5 linked regions of the Macaca fascicularis genome follow. The protein of the gene in region 4 interacts with the protein of the main gene of each other region in a biochemical or structural test. Links are inferred from orthologs where the notes say so. Each region holds a gene or a part of one and is shown on either strand. Other genes may lie near its edges. The genes, in order: CLDN1, TJP3, TANC1, PATJ and PKP4.

Evidence for each region.
Region 1: the proteins of PATJ (region 4) and CLDN1 form a complex in vitro, tested with the Homo sapiens proteins (2 studies listed by BioGRID and IntAct, with this or other methods). The link is inferred for Macaca fascicularis from reciprocal best matches to the Homo sapiens genes PATJ and CLDN1.
Region 2: the proteins of PATJ (region 4) and TJP3 form a complex in vitro, tested with the Homo sapiens proteins (2 studies listed by BioGRID and IntAct, with this or other methods). The link is inferred for Macaca fascicularis from reciprocal best matches to the Homo sapiens genes PATJ and TJP3.
Region 3: the proteins of PATJ (region 4) and TANC1 interact in a test that uses a peptide from one of them, tested with the Homo sapiens proteins (2 studies listed by IntAct, with this or other methods). The link is inferred for Macaca fascicularis from reciprocal best matches to the Homo sapiens genes PATJ and TANC1.
Region 5: the proteins of PATJ (region 4) and PKP4 interact in a test that uses a peptide from one of them, tested with the Homo sapiens proteins (2 studies listed by IntAct, with this or other methods). The link is inferred for Macaca fascicularis from reciprocal best matches to the Homo sapiens genes PATJ and PKP4.

Annotation. Positions count from the first base shown.
Region 1 is NC_088376.1:8,232,060-8,236,808, forward strand, and holds the start of CLDN1 (claudin-1), read left to right. Parts: upstream 1-1,596; 5' UTR 1,597-1,831; coding exon 1,832-2,054; intron 2,055-4,749.
Region 2 is NC_088393.1:4,468,990-4,472,283, forward strand, and holds the end of TJP3 (tight junction protein ZO-3), read left to right. Parts: coding exon 1-17; exon of another isoform or gene 18-1,778; coding exon 1,779-1,825; intron 1,826-2,229; coding exon 2,230-2,332; 3' UTR 2,333-2,458; downstream 2,459-3,294. Other genes in the region: APBA3 (amyloid-beta A4 precursor protein-binding family A member 3), read right to left, coding at 2,704-2,775, 2,867-3,007, 3,110-3,229. UniProt on the Homo sapiens protein: TJP1, TJP2, and TJP3 are closely related scaffolding proteins that link tight junction (TJ) transmembrane proteins such as claudins, junctional adhesion molecules, and occludin to the actin cytoskeleton.
Region 3 is NC_088386.1:54,606,577-54,610,736, forward strand, and holds part of TANC1 (protein TANC1), read left to right. Parts: intron 1-1,345; coding exon 1,346-1,577; intron 1,578-2,733; coding exon 2,734-2,900; intron 2,901-4,160. UniProt on the Homo sapiens protein: May be a scaffold component in the postsynaptic density.
Region 4 is NC_088375.1:172,972,399-172,977,270, reverse strand, and holds the start of PATJ (inaD-like protein), read left to right. Parts: upstream 1-1,878; 5' UTR 1,879-1,984; coding exon of another isoform or gene 1,985-2,442; exon of another isoform or gene 2,443-2,453; intron 2,454-4,872. Other genes in the region: uncharacterized protein, read right to left, coding at 1,373-1,421, 1,985-2,442.
Region 5 is NC_088386.1:54,152,279-54,155,857, forward strand, and holds the end of PKP4 (plakophilin-4), read left to right. Parts: intron 1-1,728; coding exon 1,729-1,977; 3' UTR 1,978-2,721; downstream 2,722-3,579. UniProt on the Homo sapiens protein: Plays a role as a regulator of Rho activity during cytokinesis. May play a role in junctional plaques.

The sequences.
Region 1 (4,749 bases), on a different chromosome or scaffold from region 4:
GATACATCTTCATTCACACTGACAGGCACCCACAGAACATCCACCGAGACCTAGAAAGTAGTACTGACTGCAGGCCCAAACCCTGGGATACAACAGGGACATGGTCTTGCCCTAAACAGCTGATAGGAGAAAGACAGCATTCACTGTGTTAATCTTAGTCCAAATTAAATGTCTTCATCTAACTCCTGTTTTACATTCTTCAGTGCTTGTCCCCAAATCCTAGCACGGCCAAGTCCTTTAGTGGTAAGCCTACACGAAAGGCATCCAGGGAGAGCCAGGTGGAAATGAAGGTGGTGGGGCTTGGCCTTTCCTCCCATTCCCTCCTTGAGCATTTGCACCTTTCCTTCTCTGTCACCCACTAGCAGTTGCCATGGTATATAAGAGTATATCTTGTTTTCTCCTTAATATGTTTATTTCTGCTTCCAAGGTGCTTCTGTTTTTACTAAAACCATAGAAGCTTCCCCTCCCACCACACTCGCACCACGCACAAAAAGCAGTGGGAAAACACTTCAATTATTCCTAACCACAGCAGCACTTCTGACTAACTACAAAGAAGGAAGCTTTAGAGAAGCATAGAGGGAAACTACAGTCCCAGCGAGACCGAAACCGGAGGGGTGACATAGCCAGTCACAGCAAAAGCTGGAACCAGAGCCCAGACTTCCTCAACTCCAGCCCAGTCCTTCTTCCACTGGGAAACGCTGTTTACATGCCCTCACCTGTGACGAACAGCATGTGATAACTCACAAAATTAACATCTTTCAGGGAGAGCGGGGCACCGACCAGGTCTCTCTGATAATGAATTGCTGCCTAAGACATAACTGCTGTGGGCAGGAGGTTGGTGTTTGGCGGGGGAGGGCTAGGCTGCATTTTCGTAAGGACAATAATACATCAAAAAGGACAATCAGAGATCAAAGGGGGTATTTTTGGGTCAACTTGATATGTAGTGGAAAGCAGATTGGGAGGGGAGCCAAGTACTAGATATGCTGTGTGTGTGTGTGTGTGTGTGTGTGTGTGTGTGTGTGTGTGTGTGTGTAAATCATGTTCCTCTCTGGGTCTGTTTCCCAATTTGTAGAGTGTAAAGATCTCTCTCTTGCAGAGACAAGTAATGGAACGACCTTGACAGAAGGGAGCAGAGAGATGAAAGGAGAAGGGGGAGGAAGCCAAGTAAAGGAGAGAGAAATGTGTGTGATGGGGGAGGAGATGCGGAGTTGGGTGGAAATGCCTTTTAATAAAACAATAGGAAAAAGGTATTAAACCTAAAACTGCAGCTCTTGAGGGCTCATTTTTTCATCTTTGTTTTTTGGATTTACAGGTACAGTGCATAGTAATTTTTGGATAATTGGAGTGAATGAATGAAAAGCGCGAAACGCCTGACAGGAGCGGGAAGATCCACCAGAGAAAACGAGCAGGGACGCAGCTATAGTGCCTGGTCCTGCGGGATGGTCCCCACGCCACCAGCCGCGTGTTCCCCCAACCCGGCGCTCCCGGCGCCCTCTCGGTGAGCCGCCCTGAAACCGCCAGGGGGCGCTCCCCGGCTGCCGGGGCCGAGGCGGGCGGAGCTGCTTTAAATCGCGGCGCCCAGCGGTTTGGCGTCTCAGTTCCTGAGCCTGGGAGCAACCGCAGCTTCTAGTATCCAGACTCCAGCGCCGCCCGGGCCCCGGACCCCAGCCCGGACCCAGAGCTTCTCCAGCGGCGGCGCAGCGAGCAGGGCTCCCCGCTTTAACTTCCTCCGCGGGGCCCAGCCACCTTCGGGAGCCCGCGTTGCGCACCTGCAAACTCTCTGCCTTCTGCACCTGCCACCCCTGAGCCAGCGCGGGCGGCCGAGCGAGTCATGGCCAACGCGGGGCTGCAGCTTTTGGGCTTCATTCTCGCCTTCCTGGGATGGATCGGCGCCATCGTCAGCACTGCCCTGCCCCAGTGGAGGATTTACTCCTATGCCGGCGACAACATCGTGACCGCCCAGGCCATGTACGAGGGGCTGTGGATGTCCTGCGTGTCGCAGAGCACCGGGCAGATCCAGTGCAAAGTCTTTGACTCCTTGCTGAATCTGAGCAGTGAGTGCACCCCACCTCCCAGCCGTCCAGAGGCCCCAGTCCCCCTGCAGCTCCCTTACCGTCTCATTCTGTCGTGTGATTCCATGGTTATCAGTCTTTAGTTGATCAAGTCTTCTGATCATGTGCTCTGTCATAAGGAAATGAAGAGAATCCTGGTCTGAGAAAAGGGACGCCCAGGCATAAGCTCTAGTTTTGCCTAAAACTCCCTGGGTGATACTTTTCTGCCACTCTAGGTGTGGCTTCATCCTAAATTCCTATGCCGGGGGGTCGAGATTGAGGGAGTGAAGGCTAAACTTGAACTTGAGCTCTGAGACCTCTCCTAGGCATTCTGAGATCTGGGGTAAATTGAGGATTGGTAGGGTTCAGACAAGAAAAATGGGATGGCTTTAAAAGTTTGGAGCCTGGTAACTTCTCAAGTGTGCAAGCTTAAATAAATAATCCTCAAGTATGAGATATAATTTTTGTAACCTTTACTATGATTTTGCATAGTAAAATTTACATTCCTACTTGAAATGTCCGAAGTGTCTTCTGCTCATACTTGAGGATGATTCTTTTAATGTGTAAGATCTAGTTAGTGCAGGGAGGCCCCTTGCAAGACTCTGGAGAAGCCGCTTGAGATTCCCCCAAAGTTTGAAGTTTTACACCCAAGGTCTTCGGTGGAGGCTGATGGTGTAGTTCTATTTTGGAAAGAGAAGGTTGGTGGCAAGTGGGGGAAGGCTGACAACAAAGGTTCTAAATAACCTGCCCAACATAATACAAAGGGAAAAGTAAAGGCACTGAAGGGAAATGCAGCAAAATAGTCATAGCTGATGAAATCAGAGGTCAGCTGGGAGTGGAAGGCAGTGAGAGAGAAAGAAGAGGTGGGTCTTCCTTAGGTTTCCATCTTCCACAAAGGAATTTCTGTGTAATGGATGTTCAGTGACCCCTTGTCACGTTGGAAAGGATTGTATAGAGAGACATATTTCTAAGGATGGTGGGAAGAAGGATAATAGGATAATTTTTTACTTTTTTTAACTAAAGGTTTTGAGTGCCTTGTCAGAAAAATCATTAAATTCCCGTTTACTTAGGTAATAATGATTCATGGCTGGAGTATCTTCCTAGAGAAATCACATTACTTGTCTTATATCATGTGTCTGTTATGCCCTTTAACTCACTTGAAGAAAAGGTCCCTTAGTCTTTGCCTAGATAAACGTGACTGCCCACTAGCCCCCATTGTGTGCTAAGGGCGGAAAGTGTTGGCATTGTTCAAGTTTACTTAACTTGTTTTGTCTACCTCCTATCAATGGACAACTTTTAATAGTGTATATCAAAAGCCATATAGTTTAGAGCTATTAAACCTGTTCCACATCTGTTTAAACACCTTGAATACCTGTGGCATTGGCTCAGTCAATGTGCATGGTCGTTTTGAGTGTTAGGATTTCAGCTTCTGAAGGTTCCCATGTTAGGACTTCTTTACACCAAAACCAATCTCTAAGTTTAGTAATTATGTGTTGCTCATTGCCCTCATGGGTTATATTTGTGCTTATAAAGTGAAAAATTAGGTAATAATTATTGAATTTCTCCATGGAAAGATAGATATATTTAAGGAAACGGTGTCAGGCATTTTAGGTGGCACGTTAAGGAATTGGCAGACGGAGGTTTCTAAGGACAATTCCAGAGAGGCCTCACTGTCAGTTTTGTTCCTCTGATCAAAATAGTTCCTTTCAACATCTTTAAATAGGTTTTCTTTTAACTTTCCTGAAATGACCACATGAAATCAGATTGATCCATGTTGTAAAAACTCAAAGGGATCACCCTTACACACGATAATGTGTTAAAATGTTTTCCTTTCATTTTTTGGTTAATGTAGTTATCACAGTTTTTGAAACTGCGGTGAAAGGACTAAATAGCTATTCCCCCACATACGCTTTAGAGGTGTCTTCTTAGTTGTTTTTTTTTAAACTCCAGATCAGAATCCACTTTTGTTTTACTTAAAGCCATAGTTTATCCAAGGTGTGGCTTACACCTTTCTCTCAAAACCCATTCTCAGAAGAGGGACCCTGGACTCACAGGTTTTCTCTTCGAACCTGCCATGACTCACGGCATGCTTTTGGATGGAGTCCAGGAAACCTCACTCCATTTCTCTGCCTGAGCAGTGGCGTTTACGCCCACCAGCTGTAGAGATCTGGGATGGTGATTCATTGGCCGGTTTTGGGATAGTTTTGTTACATGTGGAGACGAAAAGGGTTATGTGTGTATATCTAAGCAGTATCCCTCATAAAAAAGCTGCATTTCATTAAGTGTGTTTAGGTGAAAAGCTTAGCTGTGGGTTTCCTGAAATTGTACCTTGCTGTCTTTCCCAGTAGAGAACACTTGTCTTCGAGCCCAGATGCAGGGCTTTGCCAAGGCTTTAGCACTGGAGGTATTAAAATCTCTTGTTTCCCTGGTTTATGTAGGGTAGGTTGTAAAAAGCATATGACCTTCATAAAGTAGCTGAAGGAATACAGTGTGCTAATAGTGTATACAGTAAATACAAAATGAGATACAGCAAGTCTTCTTCTTTTAGGTAGTTCTTGGCAAGCAGTTTATGAAAATGTAACTGAGGAACTTCCTGGGGGAAACAAATGTCACATTGTGTATTGTAGTTTTACAATGGCTGATACAATTTCCATTTCATCCAAAGTATGAGATTTTATTGACCCTGGGCATTCTTGTA
Region 2 (3,294 bases), on a different chromosome or scaffold from region 4:
CTCATCAGGGGGCCCAGGTGCGTGGGGCATGGGGGGCAGTCCTGGGAAAGGTCTCTGGCAGGGACGCTGGCACAGAGCAGACACACACTGGGGAGCCTGTTTTCTACCAGGATGCCAACGAACCGCTTCCCTGGTCAGATCGGTTTCCGGGACTCAGACCTGGGGTAGCTAAGAGCCACGTGGCACCGAGCAACTTGCAGCCATTTTTTTTTTCTTTTTTTTTGAGACGGAGTTTCGCTTTTGTTGCCCAGGCTGGAGTGCGATGGCGCCAACTCAGCTCACCGCAACCTCCGCCTCCCGGGTTCAAGCGATTCTCATGCCTCGGCCTCCTGAGTAGCTGGGATTACAGGCATGCACCACCATGCCTGGCTAATTTTGTATTTTTAGTAGAGACAGGGTTTCTCCTTGTTGGTCAGGTTGGTCTCAAACTCCCAACCTCAGGTGATCTGCCCGCCTCAGCCCCCCAAAGTGCTGGAATTACAGGCATGAACCACTGCACCCGGCCTAATTTTTTTTTTTTTTTTGAGTTAGAGTTTCGCTCTGTCGCCCAGGCTGGAGTGCAGTGGCATGATCTCGGCTCACGCCAGCCTCGGCCTCCTGTGTTCAAGCAATTCTCCTGCCTCAGACTCCCAGGTAGCTGGGATTACAGGCGAGCACCACCATGCCCAGCTATTTTTTTTTTCTTAAGGTATTCTTAATAGAGACAGGGTTTCACCATGTTGGCCAGGCTGGTCTCCAATTCCTGACCTCAGGTGATCCACCTGGGCCTCTCAGAGTGTTGGGATTACAGGCGTGAGCCACTGCACCTGGCCTCCAGCCAACATTTTAACCTCTCTCTGCACCTGTTTCCTCATCTAGGACACAGGGTGGATGGTATCAGACTTGGTGGCACAGGGCAGTGGCAAGCACTCAATGTACTCAGCCCAAGTCTTGGCACATAGTAGTTGCGTGTTTTTTTGAACTTGCCCTAACTTACCTAATTTATGTATTTTACTTTTTCAATTTTAGAGATAGGGTCTTGCCCTGCTGCCCAGGCTGGAGTGCAGTGGTGCAATTATAGTTCATAGCAGCCTCCAGTTCCTGAGCTAAAGGGATCCTCTCACCTCAGCCTCCCGAGTAGCTGGGACCACAAGCACGCACCATCACCCATGCCCAGCTAATTTTTTTCACTTTTTGCAGAGATGTGGTCTTGCTATGTTGCCCAGGCTGGTCTCTTAACTCCTGGGCTCAAGTGATCCTCCTGCCTTGGCATCCCAAAGTGCTGGGATTACAGGCGTGAACCACGGCACCCAGCTGTAGTTGGGTGTTTAACAAAGGTGTATGTAGCTCTTAGTGTATATGCCTCAGCATCTTCTTCCACACCCTCTCTGGGTCAATGTAAAAATCTATGAATCGATGACATCTCTGATTAGAATGATTTTCCTAGGGTTGTGCAGTACCCAACCTGTTCAACTGTCCATGGCGGCCGCATATGGAGCAGCCACTATACTAAGTCTTTTACATACATGAACTCATGGCAGTGGCCCTATGAGGACCTGCACAGATAAGAAACGCAATTCCCCTTTTGCTGACAGGCTAGGAGGTCTCAGCTAAGGCCTTCCCCTATCCCAGCCTGTTTTCTCATTTATATTTGGGGATGACCTGCAGACTTGTCATGGGGTTAGCAATTGGGCAGCATGGCCCCGGCCAACGTGGGGGATGGGATGGACGTGGTTATTGATCTCGACTTACCATGCTCTGGGGGGAATTTTGAAGCTCCTCTCTCCCTCTCCTCCAAGGTGGACAGCAGCCATCCCCAGGGTCAGTGGCGACAGGACAGTGTGCGGTAAGAACCACATATTCCAGACTGGGGGCCCCCTCAACCCTTCCCTTGGGACTCAGACTCTGGGGTTAATAAAGAGATCTATATCCAAGCTATGCCTTCATGTGCCCCTAGCCTAGTTGGGAAGACAGAGCCTGCCAAAGCCTCTCTAAGCCCCATATAATCATGGCCAAGGGAGTAGGAATCCACTTCCTGGGAGAGCTAGGAAGGCTTCTTGAAGGGCAGGACATTGAAGCTGGGGCTTTGAGGGATGCATAGGAGTTTGTTAACAAGGCGCTACCCATGAATGCCCAGATGTGCTTATCTCTGCCCACACCCACTGTGCCTAGCACAGTCAGCCTCAGTTTACAGTGGGAAAGCTCACACGCTCCCCACCCACAGCATCTATTCTATTTCCTGATCCCCAGAACCTATGAACGGGAAGCCCTGAAGAAAAAGTTTACACGAGTCCGCGATGCGGAGTCCTCCGATGAAGAAGGCTACGACTGGGGTCCGGCCACTGACCTGTGACCTCTCCCAGGCTGCCAGCTGGTCCGTCCTCCTTCTCCCTCCCTGGGACTGGGACTCAGTTTCCCATACAGAACCCGCAACCCCACCTCCCTCCACCTGGTCTTTAATAAACAGAGTATTTTCACAGCACCGGCTTCTAGTGGCTTCCGGGAAGGATAAGGTGGTGAGAGGGCCAATCCCCGGGCTCACCTTCCTCGGTCTCGTAGACCCTGATCCGAGACTTTGCCGCTTGCATAAGCTTTTACTGTTTTTATATCAGGAAATCATACAGGACCAAGAACCGCTGGGGTCCTGGCCAGCCAAGGCAGGCCCAGGATGGGGCTCCGGGGCCATGGAGGCGAAGGCACAGTGGCAGGCAAGGGACATGGTGGTCACAGGTACACGGGCTGCTCCTGGCCTGTGAGGAGGCGGTATGTGGCGGCTGGCATCGTCTTGATATGTACCTGGGGAGTGGAGGCAGAATGGGGTTCAGGGCAGGCCTGGGCTTGCCAGGGACGTGGGGGCGCCCCTGGCCACCACCCACCACCTGCACACCTCGCCGTAGGCCTCGGTGAGCAGCTCGATGATGCGGGCGTGTGGCGTGGCCACCACGCTCTGCCCATTGATCTCAATGATGCGGTGGCCCACACGGATGCCCCCGCGCTCGGCGATGCCGCCGCGGAGAAGGCTGCAGATCTGGGGGAGGAAAGCGGGGAATGGGAAAGAGGTGGGGGCTGCTCAGGGGCCGTGCTCAGGGCCGCCCTCCTCCCCACCTCGGGCCAGGGGCCGGGGCCTCACGATGCCGTCCTCCACGCAGAAGCCCAGTTGCTCGCGAGTGTGGGGCCGGTGGATGATGGCGGTGGTGACGGGCGGGCAGTGGACGATGCTGAGTGTCACCGACGTCTGCGACTTCGTCTCCTGCAGGGCGGGGGCCGTTGGCCTCACTCAGCTGCCGGACAGCCTGGCAGCCTGTAGCCCCCTCT
Region 3 (4,160 bases), on a different chromosome or scaffold from region 4:
TAAATAACTAAATAAATAGATTTCATGACCCACTGTTGGGTCATGGAAAAAAAAGCAAAGCTGCTTTTGTGAAACGCCGTGCAAGACTGTGGTACTGGACATCTCATGATGGTTTGCACAAGCTTACAGGATGCTCACGTGTATCCCTGCTAATTTCTGTCCAGGTGAGAGTTGGAGAGCAGCCAGCTTTCCTCTGAGTGTTGACGATAAATTTAATCTAAACCAAAAGTCTCATGGCAGCTCCAGGTTGGCCAGAGGAAAGCTGTTGCACATTTACTTTTGCCACTTGTCTTTTAAAGAGTCTGCAGACCTGGGATCTAATCCCACATCCTTGACTATCTGTGTCAGGTTGGCAAGGCATCTAACCTCAGTGTCTGGTGCCCTCAGTGATGAACTGTGGCTAGTGGTTCTTGTCCTACTTCCTGCAGGGTCTTGCCGCGTCCAGTGGGACAGCAGCAAGGCAGATACTTCCAAAAAACATGTATCTCTTGGCACAAGTGTTTTGCTCTTCTTTGCCTTCCTTACCTTGTACTTGTGTTTCTCCTATCATCCTTCTTTGGAAAAGTATTGGATTTTTCTTCTATCTACTGCATGCCTCCCATTCCCAACACTTCTGTGTCTGGCCGTTTCCTGGCGTCCCTCTCACAAGCAGCCTGCTGATGCTGCAGGTCCCTTGGAACAGAACGATTCCTTTTCCTCTCAGTACCCAGGCAGCTCCCTCTCTCCTCCAACTTGTCTCTCCACATGATGGGCAGAGAATTGGTGATTTCGGGTTTCATTCTTCAGACAGCGTCCCTATTGAACTTCTCCACAGTGTCCCTTGATGCAGTGCGGGTGTGGGGAGGGGCCAACGTCTTGACCCTCTGGACCAGGAGAAGGAGCTGCTGCGACTCTGCAGCCCCGGTCTCACAGCCTCTGGCTTTATCATCTGCCTTTTGGGATCAGCAAAAGGGTTTCCTAAAGAGGTGCTGCTGCTCTTGAGAACAGAAGCCTAGTGAAGATGGCACTTTTTGATGTTGAGAATATTAGGATGGCTTGGAGCTGCTCTAAGCCAGGGTAAATTTTACATTTTATGAATGCTGTTTGCTTATATTCAATACAAAGTAACGTGCTGATTTTTATGCTAATCAAGATGGATTTTGTGGATGCAGTTAAAGGTTCGCAAACCACACAAGGGAAGGAAGGAATAAATGGAACAATTATGCTAACAAATGACCCAGTCTTGGGCAATAGATGTTATGTATCTTGTTATCAGCGGACGAGCAGAGTTGTGTTCCTGTTTGAGATCGCAGAAGGAGCTGTGTGAAGAGGGTGAGGTGACGCTGACAGTTCTGCTTCCCCCTAGGTGGTGGCCTACCACTACTGCCAGGCTGACAACACATACACTTGCCTGGTGCCCGAGTTTGTGCACAGCATCGCAGCTTTGCTCTGCCGGTCCCATCAGCTGGCCGCCTACAGAGACCTTCTGATAAAGGAGCCCCAACTACAGAGCATGCTGAGTCTCCGATCCTGTGTGCAGGACCCGGTGGCAGCTTTCAAGAGGGGAGTGCTGGAGCCACTCACAAACCTGAGAAATGGTACCTCATAGCAGCTACCTACAGCCCCTCTCAGTAGTGGTACAGCATACACAGGTGGTCCCCAGAAGGCAGGTGGTCAGCGGGGCCCTGGGGTAGAAGTGAGCTGGAGCAGGGAGAGAATGTGGAAGCGTCAGTGCCCATCCGCTCCTCTTTCTCAGAACCAGCCCCATGAGGTCCCTCCTACACCACCCCTGTGGTATAGTGTTAAAAGGAGCACCCTGATAAGAATGAATGTGATGACTGAGCGGTTCCAAAGTAGTTTGTAACTGTGGGCTATTTAGATGACTTGCACCACGGAAGACTGTTGTGTATTTTGCACTCCTAAGTATCTGAGGGAATAAGTGGATTATTTGGAGGAATTTTCCAGAATATATATTTGTCAGGGCCTCTGCTCAGTTGAATTGAAACCTTAAAGTGACTTCTAAAGGTTTCCATTTTAATTTTTTGTCCCCAACAAGGTATCAGTGACCTGATGGTCCCTTCAGTTTCCCATCTTCTCTCCCCTCACCTCCTCACCTTTTGAGCTTGTTTATCTGCCCACATGGCCCCTCTGCTGGAAGGTGCTAGAGGGATAGAAAACAGATATGTCATCATTTCTTCTCTATTTCCTGGGCAGAAAATCAGCACTAATAAATAGGAAACCAGATTCTGGCTCGCGGAGAAGAGCCCTGTTGGAGGAGTCAGTAGTGTGGAGCTCTCACACTGTGTGGTTGTGTGGCTTGGGCCGGGCACTTTGCCCTGGGTTGGGGGCAGCGAGGATGTCAGTTTCCCTTCCCTGGAATCCACTAAGGAGCTCTCATGGGGGACCTAGTGACCTTTCTGGATTGGAAGTCTGTTATGTGTTCATTATCTTTGTGTAGCTCACCCCAGTGACAATGGTTTATGAAGAGCTAACTGTATTATATACATGAGTGAGATTCTGCTAACGTATGTCATGCAATATGTTTGTTTTGTGAGAATTGGTTTTCTTTTGGCTCTGTGCTCCAGTTTTCACTATAAATTTAATAGAAAATATGCTTCTGTGAAAACTGTTTCTTGTGCCATATGTAAACCTTTTTAGTTTCTAACATTAAACTGGGCACTAAAATACACTGGGTGTTGCTGTCTTAGAGAAATGTATAATTTCTTAATTTGAAAAAATTATTTTATCCTGTAGAGCAGAAAATTCCTGAAGAAGAATACATTATTTTGATAGATGGCTTAAATGAAGCTGAGTTTCATAAACCTGATTATGGAGATACGCTTTCTTCATTTATTACCAAAATTATTTCTAAATTTCCTGCCTGGTTGAAGTTGATTGTGACTGTAAGAGCAAATTTTCAGGTAACAAAGAATTCTCAAATCTTTCTCCAAGTCCCTATATTCCAATTTTACAGTGATAAATATTAATAACATAAAACTGTTGTAAACCATTCAGCTGCTTGAATTAGAAACTATGTTAAGAATTTGAAAAATTAGTCCAGAGAGCCCCACATGGGTGAAACTCTGACCTTTTTAGCTCAAGGCATATTTATCAAGATGTCAGGTAAGTTTCCTGTTGGCATCGAATTGCACATTTTCAAATGGTGGCATCTAGCCCTGGTTACCGTCATGGAGTGTGTGGGGCCAAGAGGCCTGCCAGAGTTTAAACCTACTCCTGCTGGTAGTTATTTGCATGGGTTTGCTGTGGGGCTTTGTGTTTTTTTGAAGGGAAAAATGAAGGTGAAAGATTTTTTTTTTTTTTTGGAGATAGAGTCTTGCTCTGTCGCCTAGGATGGAGTACAGTGGCATGATCTTGGCTCACTGCAGCATCTGCCTCCCGGGTTCAAGTGATTCTCCTGCCTCAGCCTCCCGAGTAGCTGGGATTACAGGCAGCCACCACCACGCCTGGCTAATTTTTGTATTTTTAGTAGAGATGGATTTTCACCATGTTGGCCAGGCTGGTCTCCAACTCCTGACATCAGGTGATCCACCCGCCTCAGCCTCCCAAAGTGCTGGGATTACAGGCGCGAGCCACTGTGCCCAGCTGAAGGTGAAAGATTTTTAAGGCCTATTCTCAGAAGTCTATTTTTTCGTAAAACTTAAACATGAGGTAACATTTGCAGCAAGCGGTAGGGTGATATTTTTTCCCCTCCATCTTCCTTCTCTCTTGAATCCTGAAATTGTATCTTAACCATTGACTCCTTCTATACCTATCGTGTTTCAGTAAAGACTTTTAGACATTAGGTTTTGATTTTTGCCCTTTTATGATATTTATTTAAAAACAGCATTTGGAATTTTTTCATTATAAAAACTGAAATTATACCTCAGTTGAACTTGATGAGTGTGTTTTGGACATTCAATTTGTATATTTTTCAGTCTTTTTTTACACAGTAAGCACAATTTCGCAATCAGTAGAGCATGGGAACCAGGAACCTTACGTTCCTCTTCTTCTCAGCTGTGTAAGTTTTCAGAGCTTCAGATAGCATCCATGTAAAATGGGAGTGATTGTATTCTGCCCTCTTTATCTATATTGTTATATTAAATGAGCACATGCATTTAAATACTTCAGAAACAACAGTGGGAAGTCTTTTTAAAAAGGCAAAACTCTTTGCTGTTAGGCGT
Region 4 (4,872 bases):
AGAGGTTGTAGTGAGCTGAGACCACACCACTGCACTCCAGCCTGGGCAACAGAGTGAGACTCTGTCTCAAAACAACAACAACAAAACCAGGTTTGTTACATAGGCAAGTTGTGTGCCATGGGGGTTTGATATACAGATTTCATCACCCAGGTAATAAGCATAGTACCTGACAGGTAGTTTTTCGATCCTCTCCCTTTTCCCACCTGATTTCCAACTTTATTTTGCCCCCCTGACTTGGAAAGCCTCTCCTTCTCCATTTTACCTAAATTAATCTGGCTCTGGTTAAGACCTGTTTAAGTTCTAACCCAGGCTTTCAAAAAACCTAACAGATCTCTTCATTTTCTGAGGTCTGGCTTCCATTTGGTAATTTGCCTAACGTTATTTCCCTCAGTAGTTTGTTAATTCCTAAAAAGCAGGAACCATGCTGATATTGTGTGTCTTCTTATCATGCCTAAGAAGTGTTACATTTCTTTTAAAACAAGGAAGCAAACTGTAAAGCACCAAGTGCATGATCTTAATTTTATTTATTTATTTGAGACGGAGTCTTGCTCTGTCGCCCAGGCTGGTCTTGAACCCCCAGGCTCAAGTGATCCTCCGACTTCAGCCCCACAGAGTAGCTGGGACTACAAGCTCACGGCACCACTCCAGGCTAATTTTTGTTGTTGTTGTTGTTGTTGCAGTGGAGTCTCTCTCTGTCACCCAGGCTGGAGTACAGTGGCAGGATCTCGGCTCACTGCAACCTCTGCCTCCTGGGTTCAAGTGATTCTCCTGCCTTAGCCTTCTGTGTAGAGGGACTACAGGCATCCACCACGCCCGGCTAATTTTTGTATTTTTAGTAAAGATGGGGTTTCATCATATTGGTCAGGCTGGTCTGGAACTCCTGACCTCAGGTGATCCACCCGCCTGGGCCTTCCAAAGTACTGGGATTACAAGCGTGAGCCACCGTGCCCGGTCTAAAAGTCTTTATGTTGTAGTTGTTTTGTATCTATTCCTCATCGTCCTGGGGACAGGGATACCATTTTACACATCTTCCCAGAGTCAATCACAGTATTTAACAATTACTGTATGTACTCTATGGATAAGATACCTGAAGATTGATTCTCTTTATCGTTAATGTGTGGATTGTATCAGGCAAGTAAAACCCCTATCATCAAAAGTCTAAAGTTATTAAAGGGAGTGGAAGAATACCATCGGGGCATATTTTTCTCGAAGGTGTGATACACAAATAAAATAAAATTAATATATAGTGAAATCATCACTGTATTTAGAGTCAAAATGCCTTGCCTGTGTTCCAAACAATGGGCCAGTCAACCTACCTGGTGCACGGTTTCCTCATTAGTTTCTTCAGAGAGTAATTGAGATATTGCATAAGCTAGCACTCAGCATACGGCAGGCAAATACTGCTGGATTTCTTCCTTCCACTAAATGAGAAGAAAATAATGACTCCCACATTTACACGTTTTAGAATATTTTATTTTGCGTCAGCGGATATAGAAAACGAGGGATGAGAGACTAAGAAAGGAAAAGGGCAAAAAGGCAAGGTGTTAAGCGGATTGACCCAACGCTTTCATTGATATCCTCCCCAATTTCCTGGATCTTGGGTCTAGCTCTTCACGCAGGCCTCCAACCACACCGGTCTGTCCGGATCTCCCTCCCCGTCAGTGCCGGCTGTCCCCACCAAGCGCGGTCTCATCCGCTCCCCCGCTCCCACAGCCCACTTTTCCCAGGCCTTTGGCCATCCCGCGCCCTGTAGGAATTCACCTGCACAGAAACAGCCAGGGAAAACGTCCTCCCTCCTTGGAGCCCGCCTCCCACAGCCCCGGGTTCCCTCCCCCGCCCCCGCGCCACCCCGGCGCCCCGCCCCGGGCGGAGAGAGTCGGGGCGAGGGGAGGGCCTGCCAGGTGAGGCGCGGCCACCCTAGGCCTCTCACTTCCGCCCAGGTGAGGCAGGGCCGACACCGAGCCCGCCCGACCCGGGCTCCCACCTGCTCCTCCAGCGCACCAGGTAAAGCGTGGGGGTCCCGGCTGTGCGGTGCGCACTTGCCCCTGGGGGTCCCCGCTCCTGGAGGCCGGCCAGGCGCAGCTCCCTCGCGGGCTTCCCGGGCCTGCCTGCCCTGTCCCCGCGCTCTCCCCGCCCGCCCGCCTGGAGTGGGTGGGAGCCGGAGGAGGAGGGCGCCGCCGGGCGCTCAGAGGGGCCGCGGCTGGGATGGGGCGCCCGCTGCGTGCGCCCGCGCTGGCCCGGGAGGCGGGGCGGGGGCGCCGTCCTCCTGCGTCGGGCCCGGGTGACCCCACGGTGGTCCCCGCCCCGCCGCGCAGGGCTCGCCGAGGCCGCGGGCAGGGAGGGGCGCTGCCCCGCCTCCCCAGGCCTTTCGGGCCTCAAATCTCGGCCCACTGGTATTCGGGGGTGGCACGGATCCGATTTTGCGCCCAGATCGGTGCCCATGTTTCGCTCCCAGAGGTGGGCGGAGTCTTTCCCTCCATCGGTGGCCGTGGAAGGAGGGAACGGGGTGAGGGGACAAAGAGGAGGGGGTGCTCAGAGCCGGGCTGAGTGGGCGACTTGGGCTCGGCCGCGTCCCGTAGCGGAGGTTCCCAAACCAGCGGTCAAGCCCTGGGCTCTGCCAGCCTTGCTACGTAGAAAGGGAGGTTCGGTCGGAAAGTGCTTCCAGCCTTAGGGGAAATTCTTGGATTCCTGCTTTTAAATCAAGCTCAGAAAAGCGTTTTCGGATCACTCCCACCCTCCAAAGCGCCCCAGTCGTCCCGCACGCAGGCCGAATTAAGTGAACACCCCTTCACCTGGCACTTTGTCATATTTCCGAGTGACTCTTGCACTTTGGATTCGAGTTTGTTGTTTACTGACTTGCCTCTGCCATTTAGAGGGTGCCCCTTTCAGGGCCTTATTTCTCGACTGCATTTAGGGTCTGGCTATTGGTAGGTGCGCGACAAGTGTTTCTTAAATGATTGAAGAAGCCTTTGGAAACCCTGAAGGACAATGTCGATTCCACTGAGGATGATACTACCACATTCTGGGCTAAATTCCTATTGGCGGCCAATTAATTTGCACACATCTATTTGAAAGAAGTGGAGGCAGGGGCAGCAGTTAAGAACTTAAATCTGTTTGCAGCATTAGAAAATGTTAGGTGAGATTGAGCCTTTTAGCTAAAGTGAGCTTTGATGTTTTTAGGGCCCATAATGCCTTTAAGATGTTGTTAACAACAACAACAAAACACTCCAAATATGTTGAATTTATTTGGGAATGAGAAATGAGGATTGTAGCCCGAGGGGCACAGCCCTGGCAAGCCATATATGCATGTAAGAGGGGAGGGTAAAGGGAAACTTTTATTGGCAAAGTAAGTGCAGATAAGCTGCTTGAAAACAGAGTTTATTGGTTTTGCAGACTCCAAGTCAGAGTTGGCCATTGTCGAACATGCCATTACTGGGCAGGTGTTATGGAGAGCATCTTATCAGGTCTGGCACCCTGCCTCATGCCTGTTATCTCAGCTACTTAGGAGGCTTAGGCAGGAGGATCGCTTAGGCAGGAGGATCGCTTGAGGCCAAGAGTTGGAGACCAGCCTGAGCAACATGGCTGTCTTTACAGAAAAAGCTTTTTAAATAGTCAGGTGTGTCGGGAGGTTGAGGCAGGAGAATTGCTTGAGCCCAGGAGATGGAGGCTGCGGTGAGTGGCGTTTGTACCACTACACTCCAGCCTGGGTGACAGAGCAAGAACCCTGCCTCAAAAAAGAAAAAAAAAAAAAAGGGAAAAAAGATTATCTTATCTTATCTTATCTTATCTTATCTGAATTACTGCATTCCTAAAGAAAGAATTTCTTAGGGGGTTATTTTAGTTTCTTGAGATCTTTATCTCAGACATGCAAGCATGAGCTTTCTCCCTCATGCTCTTCATCTCTAGTTTGTTTGGGTCTGAGAAAAAGTGATTTTGACCTGGTATCTGCAACTTTCACAAAAATAATAAGAAAGTTAATAAATATGGAAATACTTATGGATAGAACTTAGAACTTATAAAAGGAGTTCTGAAGAGATTTGCCCTTACTAGTCCAGATCCTATTAGGGGTAAGAGGAAAAACACAAACTTTTTCCTCTGCTCTCACACCACTGCAATCAACACTGAAGATTTCTGTGACCAAATAAATGTGTGGGGTAATCAGTTCTGCATCAAACAATAGCTGAGCATCTTCCAGTTCGATTCTGATACTGTCTACCTGGGGATAGTGTCAGATCCCATAGGACTGCCCCCACTTCTGATGCCAATCACAAGTCCTAGATTGTTTTACCCTGGCTTCTGACTAACCACCTATAAATTGGGAATCCCATAACCCCCTCCTCTGGTTTGGTTAATTTGCTAGAGCAGCTCACGAAACTCAAGAAAACACTTATTTAGGTTTATTACTAGTTTACTATTAAGAATATTACAGAGGATACAAGAGGAAGAGATGCATAACGTGAGGTTTGAGAAGGGGCATACCACATTCCAGGAACCTCCGTGTGTTCAGATATTGAGAAGCTCTCCCTACCCCATTTTCTTGGGCTTTTTATGGAGACTTCACTGGGTAAACATAATTGAAGCATGGAGTAGGGGAAACCCAGCAATGCCTATCTGTTCAGATTTTTCTTGGCCTCTCTCTGTAGCATTCCTTCCTCCAGGGTATGGGCAGGACCCCTTCTTATGGGGGTCTTACGACCTACAGTCAGACAACGGAGGTCAGATAATTTTTAAAAATATTTATTTATTTATTTATTTTGAGACAGAGTCTTGCTCTGCTGCCCAGGCTGGAGTGCAGTGTCGTGATCTCAGCTCACTGCAACCTCCGCCTGCCGGGTTCAAGTGATTCTCCTGCCTCAGACTCCGGGGTAGCTG
Region 5 (3,579 bases), on a different chromosome or scaffold from region 4:
CACAGTAAGGGGTCCACGTCGGTTGACTTCCCAGAGCTGGGCCAACACGGCAGGGCCCTAGATGCTTTCCCTGGGGATCTTCACTCCTTGGAAACTCACCCGTGGTTTAAGCAAAGCATTTCCACGGTAGCCTCACGTTCTTAAGTATCCACATCGGTACTGCTGAGACCACCACGCCACTGATGGGGACAGCCAAGAAGTCTTTAGTTCATGTCCTTTGCCCAGCGGTGTCCTTTTCCCACTCTTTTTCTGTTAAGCTTTAAAATCTCTTCCAGCCTCTGGGTGAGGGAAGGTTGGTAAGCACACTTCATGCCCTCATCACCTTGTTCTCTTTTGTGTATACCTCATTCTCCATCTCACCCCTCTCTGTCCAGGCTCCACAATTTAAAAACACTGAGTCCATGGCCAGGTCTGTTTGTGTCGGTGGTTAAAGTGGACTCAGCCCCTGCCGGAATGGACCTCACTGTGGGAGAGTGGGACTGGCGGTTATAACACATCCCGGCTTTGCTTTCATGAAGGGCCTGCAGTCAGTCTCAGGTCCTTCCCGGTGCCGTGGTGAACCTGGACCATCTGGTCGCTCCTCTTCCCTTTCAATAACAGAGCAGCTGGAGTTTCCTAAAACAAGACTGTATCCTGTCCTTCAGATAAGGATGTGTTCTAAGACCTCTCCTTCTCATCATCTTTTCTCTGTAGATGGAAGAAAACGAATTTTCCAAGTTATTCATAATTTATGCCATAGTTTTTTAGTCAGGAAAAATAGACCAGAATCATAACTCTGGCTTGAAAAGAGAATTTAGCTCTGAAATCCTTATAATGTTAGAATGCATTGAGTTCCAGGACATAACATTAATTCCTGTGTGGTAAATTTGTTACATCTTACTAAGTAGGGGGATTTGGGCATGATCAAGAAGATAGACATAATAACCATCACAATTTGAAGAAATTAATGTGAGGTCAACGCTAAGACCGAACAAAAGGAAATGGAGAGCAGTGTGCCCTTTGTGGGTGCCCACGTGTGCCTGGCCTTGCCCACTTACAGATGGACTTAGCCTTGGCTTGGGGAAGCCTTTTCCTCTAGAACCATATTTGCTCACATGTCTCTCCTAATTTTACTATTCTTCTACCTTGAGATTGCTTATTCCTTTAATATTACGACTTACAGCAGAGTTTCCAAAGTGTGACTATTGTTCACCTAGCCACATACATCTTTTAAAGTGGAGAGATGGACTCCATCTTCATATCCGAAGTAAATGTTTTAAAAGATGGTTCGGTAATTATGCAATTATGCAAGGCCCAGAAACCCAATCTTCGACTAAATTAGTGATGTGCTAATAATTCCCCTGTGTCAAAGCAAATGTCAAGACCATCCTCTCATTCGGCATGCCCAGGTAACGGGTCCCTCCACAGCTGAGCACACAGCAGGGCCTCCAGTAAGGAGGGGAAGCCGCTGGGGCCACGTACCTGGAGATCTCAGGCTCTCCTGAGGCACCTACTTCTCTAGAGGTCTTAGGACAGGAAACTCAGCAGCCTGCCTGAGAGTGCAGCTTAAAATCCTTAGAGTCCAATAGTAAACAAACACATAGTGTGTGCCAGAAACAGCTTTTAACTTTAAGCTGCAACTATTGAATATTGCTTTAAAAATATGAAGCAAGAAGCCCACATTAATTTTCCTGACACGTCTTTTTAAAAAATTGCTTTTATTTATTTGCCTTTTCATTTTGTCAACAGCATCAACAGCTGTATTATAGTCAAGATGACTCCAACAGAAAGAACTTTGATGCATACAGATTGTATTTGCAGTCTCCTCATAGCTATGAAGACCCTTATTTTGATGACCGAGTTCACTTTCCAGCTTCTACTGATTACTCAACACAGTACGGACTGAAATCGACCACAAATTATGTAGACTTTTATTCCACTAAACGACCTTCTTATAGAGCAGAACAGTACCCAGGGTCCCCAGACTCATGGGTGTAGCATCAAGATGCCCGACAGAGGAACTCTTTCTTTCTAACCTTGTTTGGATTGAGGTGAAAAGTCCATCTTGCTGATTTGATGATTGAAATGTGAAAGTGAAGTGGAAGGAATGAGTGAAGTGCGTTTTTTTTTTTCTTTTTTGAGGAATTATCAGGGAAGTGAGGAAATTTTGGGAGAGGACTTTCTAAGCTCTATTTAGTTGTTAGATCTAATTATAGATTCTGTAGTCTGGTGAAGGTGTGGGTGACGTGATGAGAGGTTTGAGAAATGGGTGAAATGAAATGGGGGATGTGTAGGTCAAATCAAATTAAAGATTTTTTTAATGTGAATAAAGTTATGTTCTGATAGTTTGTACAGAAAAAATAAAATGGATGCCCATGTTTTATTGCTATTACTAAATGTCAAGATTGTATGCTATTATGTCTTGTAAATTTCTTTGTTGGTGTAAATATGGAAATGCCACATTGGTTAAGTGCCATCATTTGTAATGCAGTGTGTCACTTGAGAAGAGATTTGAAGAAACTGACAACTTCAAAAACAAATGGGAAGCCCAAGGAACTGTGAGCAATTAAAAACAAACTGCGATGCCCTTTGTCCCCACCACGCGTAGTGTACTTTGGAAGCACAACGTCCAGGCTGGTACCGCAGCGCCATGCCCATTCCTCGCCTCGTTCATAGGACACTTCACTGCCATTTTCTATGCACATAAAAGAAAAATAAATGTGGAAATTTCATCCTTGGAAATGTGTTCTCTATTCTTTTTAAATTTTCTGTATGTATATGGAAAAGCAGATTTAATAAACACAAATCTAACTGCATGTTGGAAACAGCCTAAACATATCCAACTATTTTGGACTTTTCCTAGTTTTATATATACTTTGTAAGATGGACCACACCAAAGAATTAAGCTATGAACTTTCCTCCTCTGACTATGTAGGTGTTTTCATTTCTTGGAATCTATTTTAAATCTAGTACACTTTACAGTTTTATCATGTTTTTCTCAGACCCATATGTACATATCATCACTCTTCACCTAAGACAAGTTATATCTGGCAGCGTGGCCGTAACTAAATTGATACTTTTTTAGGCATCGTTTTTAAGAACTCGGTAACTTCATAATAATAGTGGTTGGGCATTTATTTCATTGGCACCAATATAATAAAACAAATTCTAAATTATGATCTTGTTGAATAATTCCATGAGACAGTAATTCCTGGATTAGGAATGGGGCAGGGGAAAGAAGCCCCACAGATAGGGTAGGCAGAGGTCCCCATAGCACCACACAGCATTACTTGGGAGCTTTTCTCCATCTGTGGAGACAATGAGGGGCACCAGGCCCAAAATCTGAGGCCTTCTCGGGTCTTGCAGTTTCTACCCTTCAGCCCTAGCTCTTGGATCTTTGTGTAAATATGGAAATGCCACATTGGTTAAGTGCCATCGTGGAAAACTAGGAACTAATTTACCTATAGCTGTACTAGGAAAACTAGGAACTAACCCCCATGGCGTCAAACCCAGAAGTGTTGTCTTTACTCAGTATACCCTGCAAGTGTGATACAAATCACAGATTAAAACATTTGTACTTACATTTGTGAGTATATGGAA